2 linked regions of the Macaca fascicularis genome follow. The protein of the gene in region 1 purifies or fractionates together with the protein of each later gene. This does not show direct contact. Links are inferred from orthologs where the notes say so. Each region holds a gene or a part of one and is shown on either strand. Other genes may lie near its edges.

Region 1 (3,820 bases):
GTTGATTTTGTCACAATGGGCATTGACATAGTTTAATTGGGCAATCGTGAAATTTGACATATGTTCTATGTTCATATTTAAATGTATGATGTGATTTTTGTAGGAAGTATACATACTGTTTACATTATAGATGTGCTGTGAAATTTTATCTTGGAATCTTTTTTAGAATGAAATTTTTGGTTCGACGGTGGCATCGAGTCACAGGTTCTGGTTCCATCAATATTAACAGAGATGGCTTTGGACTGAATCAAGGTGAAGTCAAAATAGCATATTTTCTTATGTTTATGACTCTCTAAATCAGAGGTCCCCCACCCCCAGGCTATGGACCCATACTTGTCTGTGGCCTGTTAGGAACCAGGCCGCACAGCAGCAGGTGAGTGGCGGGGACTACTGCCCGAGCTCCACCTCCTGGCAGATCAGCCGTGGCATTAGATTCTCACAGGAGCACAGACCTTATTGTGAACTGCACATGTGAGGAATCTAGGTTGTGTGTTCCTTATGAGAATCTAACTAATGCCTGATGATCTGGGGTGGAACAGTTTCATCCAGAAACCATTCCGGCCCCTCTGGGTCCATGGAAAAATTGTCTTCCATGAAATGCGTCCCTGGTGCCAAAAAGGTTAGGGACTGCTGCTCTGAATTACTGCATGTGTAATACTTACCAAATAATGAATTCTGGAAACAATGTTTTCCAAAGACAAAGCCCTTATAACTGCCAAAACTAGGTAACTTCACTGTTTTTTAAAGAGGATAATAATAGCTGATTTTCATGGAGAACTTAGTCTGCACCGGGCTGTGCTCTTTTCATGTATTCTCCCAATCCTGTGATAGAAATACAGTTGTTACTATTCTCACTTTTAGATGAAAAACCGAGGCATGGAAAACACATGTCATTTGCCCCAGAATGGCCAGTAGGGAAGTGATGGAATCAGGACCAAACACTGGCAGTCTGGCTCCAGAGCCCATACTCTTCATAACTGCATTTAAGGCACTGGTTCAAGACAGGATTGCTGTTAGTCATATGGAATAATTATGAAGTTTTCATAATTTAACAATATTCAAACAGGTTTCTGAGTTTACCAAGAGGTTGTATAATAATGGTAACAGCTAAAATTCCTTCTCTCTACACCTAGAAGTGGAAACAAACTAGGGCTTGAACATTTCTGGCAATAAAGATGAGGTCCAAATCTGGGGAGCACACAGAGGTACAGAGGACACAGCATCCCTGTGCTGTGTATTCACAGTAAACCACCTTCACATCCTCTACCAGGAGCTGAGCATCCGAGAGAGGGGAAATAGCTTTGGTACCCTACACAAAGTATTTTGAAATATCATTACACTGAAACAGCTGAAATTTGTACCATAATAAGTTGTGTTTTATTAAAAGTTAGCAAATCTTGATTTTAAGTCAATAGAATGGAATGTTTACATAGTCTAATATTTTTTATCCACATCATTTCCCACAAACCACACATACTCAGACACCCCTCACCTCTCATCTACTTAGAGCTAAGGTCTTTAAAAAAGAAAGTATGCCAATTAAATAATTTTCTTTGAGACATAATTCCAGGTATCAGAAATACTCATATTCAAAAGTAAACAAAATAACATTTGAAAGCCAAATTTTTGTTTGCACTGTTTCTCCTTTAGCAAGAATAGTAAGAAATGACTATAAATAGGAGATGGTATAATATAGTATAATAGTCTTTTGAGCAGTTATCTATTTTGTAGAAATTTTTTAAGGGCTTGGGTTTTATTTTTCTTTACAAGGAATATTTTGGGTTACTTTAGGTGCAGAAAAGACTGACTCATTTTTTCATTCTTCTGGTGGGCTGGAGCTATATGGAGAACCAAGACACACAACGTATCGCTCAAGATCAGATCTGGACTATATTAGGTCCCCTTTACCATTTCAGAATAGGTAAGAATTTGAGAAAACCTGCCTGGAATTGTTAAATGTATTCATATTTAACAGAGAAAAATGGACATTTTTAGGGCTTTGACTTCTTTGCATTGAGACAGACATCTTTGTTATATGTAATTTACATAATCTGACCAGGCATGGTGGCTCACATCTATAATCCCAGCACTTTGGGAGGCTGAGGTGGGCAGATCATGAGGTCAGGAGTTCAAGACCAGCTGGTTTGAGACCAGCCTGGCCAACATGGTGAAACCCTGTCTCTACTTAAAATACAAAAAAATTAGCCGGGCATGGTGGTGGGTGCTTGTTATCCCAGCTACTGGGGAGGCTGAGGCAGGAGAATCGCTTGAACTCAAGAGGCAAAGGTTGCAGTGAGCTGAGATTGCACCACTGCACTCTAGCCTGGGCAAAAAGCAAGACTTGGTTTCCAAAAAAATAATAATAATAATGCACATAATCTAAGGCTCAATGTAAAAATGTAAACACCAGTGTTTAAATTTGTAACTGATTTCCAAGGGTATAGCAAACAAAGCTGACCAAGTGTTATTTAGTATATGCTGTGATTAGATATTGGTAAAAGTATTGATTAAAATTGATAGTCTCTGACCATTATGAAAAGCTTAACAATCTTCATGACAAGATGCATTTATACATACCCAATTTATTGAGACCTCTGCCACAAGCATTGTATTGGACATTCTTATGTTGACTTAGTAGCATCTTTGAATTTATTGAAGAGTCGTCTCTTTCTCATCCCAAACTCCAAAGCTGAAGCTTAGGGGATATACATTATGTGTGTACAAGTGACCCACCTTTTTGGGGAAGGGAGTAGAGGCAGGTTGGTAACTTGTATGCATATTTCTGGATAACTTGATTCATGTACATATTTTTAATCCTTTAGGTACCCAGGCACTCCAGCTGATTTCATTCCTGGTTCTTTAGCATGTTCTCAGCTTCAGAATTACGATCCTGACAGAGCCCTAACAGATTATATCACTCGGCTGGAGGCACTGCAAAGACGACTTGGAACTATACAGTCAGGTGCTCTAAGTTTAACCACATCTTGGCAGCACCACAGTGCTAGACCCACAGCTCCCCTTTTTTTGAAATTCTTTCACACTCATCATTAGGATAATCAAAGCTTCCAGTTTAGTGCATGAGCTATTAAGTTAGCCAAAGCTTAAACTCTTGTAACCAGCAGAGAAACTGACTTTAAATAATTTAAGTGAAAATATGATTTATCACCCCAGATCTCACTCCTCCCAAAAATGATTTCCTACTATCTTCATTCAGCGGACTGATGACACAAATGCACAATGAGCACCAATGTGCAAGGTACTCTGAGTCTACAGAGCCTTACTGGAGAACGTATTCCTAAGTAGTGCGTGGCAGAAAGTGGTAAGGCCGTGCCACAGCACTCCAGCGTGGGCAGCAAAGTGAGACCCTGTCTCAAAGAAAAAAAAAAGTGGTAAGGCATACAAATCGGGTGGAGTTAAGGAGGAAGCACTTGCTTTAAGCACTTAATGTAACCATTTTCCCTGCTACTATATTGTGCCTTTATGTATCATCCAAAAAAATTATCCCATTTTAAAATACTTCATAAGGATTCTTTTATTTTTCTTTGTTCAAAAACAAAAAGCAATTCATACTTTAAAATAAAGGTGGATTCCCTGTTCATGGAAGGAAAACCTCTTTTCCCTTTCTCACTTCAGTTCACTCCTGATTCAAAGACTTTGAATCACTTAGTAGTTTCTCTCTTCCTTCAAGAAAGCATTTGTTTAAACCCAAGCATCTTGTAGTAATAGGAAACTTTTATTATCATAGCTGAGTGTGCTTGTTGGTTTGCCTTGGCTTGTTTTGTTTTGAGCATCCAAATTTCACAAAACCCAGATTTTGAAG
Region 2 (3,820 bases), on another chromosome or scaffold:
TTTCCCTCTTTGAGTCTGTCTGGTTCCACATTTCAGTTGTTCCTGTCGGCACGCGTGAATGCCCCACTCTTTCAGTTACCGTCATCACCAAGGGTGGTGCAGTGAGGTAGCAAGATCTTCGTCTTTGCTGCCAAGTAGTCCTGGGTCTAAGTCTGGCTCCCCTCCCGAGCTGTGCATGCCTGGGTAGGAAACAGCCCTTTTGAGTTTCGTTTCCTCATATCTCTGAACTGAGGGTTAGAGAGCACCAACCGTTTAGGGCATCTGTGAAGATTACATGAGATCACGTATGTACGGGGCTGGACACGGGGAGCACTTGGAAATTGCAGCTGTGACTGGAATTCTTAACCAGGCTTGTCACTGCTTGGTCCACACTCTTGTGACTGAGAGTGGAATTGGCCTGCTCTGTGGGGTTCGAATAAGTTACCCTATGGTAGAACTAACCTGTGCTTCTCATGCCTGTGGGGCCTTCTTAGGGTGCAGGAGGAGGTGAAGTTGAGGCAGCAGCTGCTCTCACAGAATGACAAGCTATTGCAGTCCCTCCGAGTGGAGCTGAAGGCGTATGAGAAGCTGGATGAAGAGCACAGGAGACTGAGAGGTACCGGGGGGGCTCTGGTCCGAGGCCCTTCTCACCTTGAGGCTACTGTGCTTTGGGCTGTAAGCCCACCCGACCGCCGGCTGTAGGCGCAGGAGGGTAGAGCTCAGCCCTCTCCTCTCTGGCCTCGTGGGTAGAATGGATGGGTGTTGAAGCTAGCGCTTTGACCCACTCTTCTTTTGAAGGAACAGCAGGAAACATAGAAGGACTGAGGCTCAGCACCCAGGCCAGCCACGGTCCGGGTTCCCACTCCCTTGTTCCCAGCTATTTGACCCTCAGCAGGCCACTTCACCCTTTGAGCCCAGCCCATACATGCCTCTGTAAAACATGTCTCTCAGCACCTGTTGTGTGGAGAATTGTGTTGAAAATTGAATGAGACCATTTATTAAAAGCATCCTAGCATGATACCTGACACATAGTAAGCACTCGGGAAATGACTTTTATTATCGTCCTGCTAGTGTGTGTTACTTTTTGCCCATTAATTCAGCAAACATTTATGGACACCTCTCATGTGCTGGGCATTGCTCTGGGGATAGTTGTTGGCCTCAGTGCTCTCTGTATCCCAAGAGAGATACCAGCTCAGAGTGCTTCAACTATAAGGTCTAATGTTTCAGAATCAATTTTGAGGTGTGGTGAGGTGTTTTTTTGTTTTTTTTTTTTTTTAAACTAATTTTCCAGATGGTTTCTCTCTATTGAAAGTTGATCTAGAAAGGGGTCATCTCACAGCTTTTATTTTCTTCTCAACTTGCTTTTCTTATTCTTGCTGTTGTGTCTTTTTAATATACTGTGGCTCTTAAAATCATCCCCTTTCATTCTATAATTCTAGCCCAAATAGATTTTATTACTACTAGACATAATTTCGGGGTTTGGTATGCAATTTGCTAGGCTTTTATGGCCAGAAGCGAAAATTAATTTCCAGCTCTTATTTAGCTTGTGGAATAGCAGCAATTAAGTCTGCCAATATTTTTGTTTCTAAAGTCAAGTTGTTATTTTAAACTGTACCTAGTTCTTAGGAAGAGGGAGGGCGATGGTGGTGGCGGGTGTAAAACGCGATTGAGTTCCTTCAATGGCTGACCCTTTGGTTGTAGAAGATGTCAGGGCTTCTCTTTGCACATGTCTGCAGAGGCGTCGGGAGAAGGCTGGAAGGGGCAGGATCCTTTCAGGGACCTGCACAGCCTCCTGATGGAGATCCAGGCTCTGCGGTTGCAACTGGAAAGGAGCATTGAAACCAGCAGCACTCTGCAGAGTAGCCTCGAGGAACAGCTGGCAAGGGGGGCAGAGAAGGCACAGGAAGGAGCCCTCACTCTGGCCATCCAAGCCCTGTCCATCCCTGAGGTGCCCCTTCAGCCTGACAAACACGGTACTGCCCCTGCCTCTCCCCACTTGGCTGAGAATGCAGCTCTGAGCATCTGTGTGTGACGTGTGAACTTCTGAATGATGCCTTTGCCCCACACAGGTGTCTTTCCGTTGATAGCTGACACGCTGTACCCTGGGAGCCAGGGGACCTGACTGCTAATTAATTAGACGTCACCTTTGGCAAAGTGGCGTAATCTCCATCTGAGGCATCTTGATTCTCAGGGAAGTGGAATTTGGACTTCCAGACACCCTCAATGCCTCTGGCCTTGCTCCCTCCTATCCATTTATTCCTGCCTGCATCACTTCCATGCTGAAATTTCTTTTAGTTTCTCTTACTGCCTTTAGAAGGGAACCCAAACATCTTAATCTGGCTTTCAGTGTCTTTCAGGATCTGAAAATCATCCTGATAGGTTTAAAAAGTGGATCTGTTTTGCATTTGCTTGCAGGTTAATTGCCTAGCCCTGGAGAGAGGCTGTGGGGGGGTACCAGAAAGAGGAGCAGACACCTCTGCCACCTGCCCACCACAGGGTGTGGAGCAAACCAGTAAATGGTTAGACTCCAATCAGTCAGGCAGCCTGTCCTCTTTGCTCTAGAGATGAAAAACAAAGGCCCAGAGAGTGGATGGGGCTTGCCCAAAGTGGCATAGCAATTAGGCAGCAGAGCTGGAACTAGAAACCATTTCCAGCTTTGACTCTAGGGCTGTTCCTAAACCCACTGGACCCTCTGGAGCCTTGGGTATCCTGGGATTATCTTCCTGACACCCATGGGGTAAATATGTGTATCCAGTGGGATGAGGAATGCCAGCATGCTTTAAAAGCAGTATTGTACTAAAGTTTGCACTTACTTTTACTTGGATACCTCTAGTTAAAAAAATAAAAATAAATCTCTTAAGGAGTACCTAGTCAGTCTGCCTTAGAACTTGTAGTGATTAGTTCATTGATTTCTCATTGACAAGGATCTTAAAATTTAACCAAAAAGATGATGTAATAATATGAAAAAAGTGAACAGAGAAAAAAAGTTGATGATTCTACACATTGATCATTTTTTAAAATTTGCATATTTCTTTTCATTTATTAAATATCGGCATGAATTTATATTTTTCAAATTGGTTTTTGTGTCATTCTGTGTCCTTTCTTTGTTTTTGTCCAATATTGCATCATACATGTTCCCTCTGCTTTCACATGGGCTTCCTAATGATTGTTTGCAGGCTATTCTTAGTCACCAGTCCATGACCCCGTTGATTATTAAAGTGGTCTCTGATTTAGAGCCATAATAGACATCAATGTTAATATACTTTTTGCTGTTAAACAATATTCTTAGGAGAAAACCCGACCAGGGGAATCTCAGAAGTTTAGAAAGGTGCCATATTTCTACCTTCTAAATGGTCTGTCCATCAGAAGTGTACAAAGGTAGTGGTTTTTGCGTGACCTCATCAGCATCGGGCATTAATATTTTTAACATGGGTCTGCACCTGGCCCTTTTTAAGGCTTTGAGGAGCTTGTGGGGGTGGGCTAGGGGAGATTGAAGCAAGGAGAAGAGTTCTGTGCTTGGGGTGCCCAGGAAGGAGCGTTGGGTAGCTGAAGCGAGGAGGCCATCAAACAGCCTTTGCCTTTGAAATTTGCCGAAAGCAGCCCTCAGCATGTGTGGCAAGAGGCATCCAGGAGAGCATTCAGAATTCACGGTGTTGCCTCAGCAGAAAAGTTTTCTAATTTTCTTGAGTCAAGATCAGAATTGTAGGCAGCAGCATTTCTTCCTTTGCAAAAGACTTCTCAGGTCTGTATTTAAGTGCATCTGTTTTTAAAATTATGTTCTAAAGGCTGATGTCTTTCGCTGAGAGTGATTCCTCTCAGGGCCAGCTCTATGGAGCTGACC

Evidence for each region.
Region 2: the proteins of AKAP9 (region 1) and CDK5RAP2 purify together in Homo sapiens (affinity purification with western blotting; 4 studies listed by BioGRID and IntAct, with this or other methods). This does not show direct contact. The link is inferred for Macaca fascicularis from reciprocal best matches to the Homo sapiens genes AKAP9 and CDK5RAP2.

Annotation. Positions count from the first base shown.
Region 1 is NC_088377.1:129,244,963-129,248,782, reverse strand, and holds part of AKAP9 (A-kinase anchor protein 9), read left to right. Parts: intron 1-166; coding exon 167-252; intron 253-1,791; coding exon 1,792-1,921; intron 1,922-2,822; coding exon 2,823-2,962; exon of another isoform or gene 2,963-3,820. UniProt on the Homo sapiens protein: Scaffolding protein that assembles several protein kinases and phosphatases on the centrosome and Golgi apparatus. Required to maintain the integrity of the Golgi apparatus. Required for microtubule nucleation at the cis-side of the Golgi apparatus.
Region 2 is NC_088389.1:37,582,537-37,586,356, forward strand, and holds part of CDK5RAP2 (CDK5 regulatory subunit-associated protein 2), read left to right. Parts: intron 1-473; coding exon 474-595; intron 596-1,715; coding exon 1,716-1,952; intron 1,953-3,820. UniProt on the Homo sapiens protein: Potential regulator of CDK5 activity via its interaction with CDK5R1. Negative regulator of centriole disengagement (licensing) which maintains centriole engagement and cohesion. Involved in regulation of mitotic spindle orientation.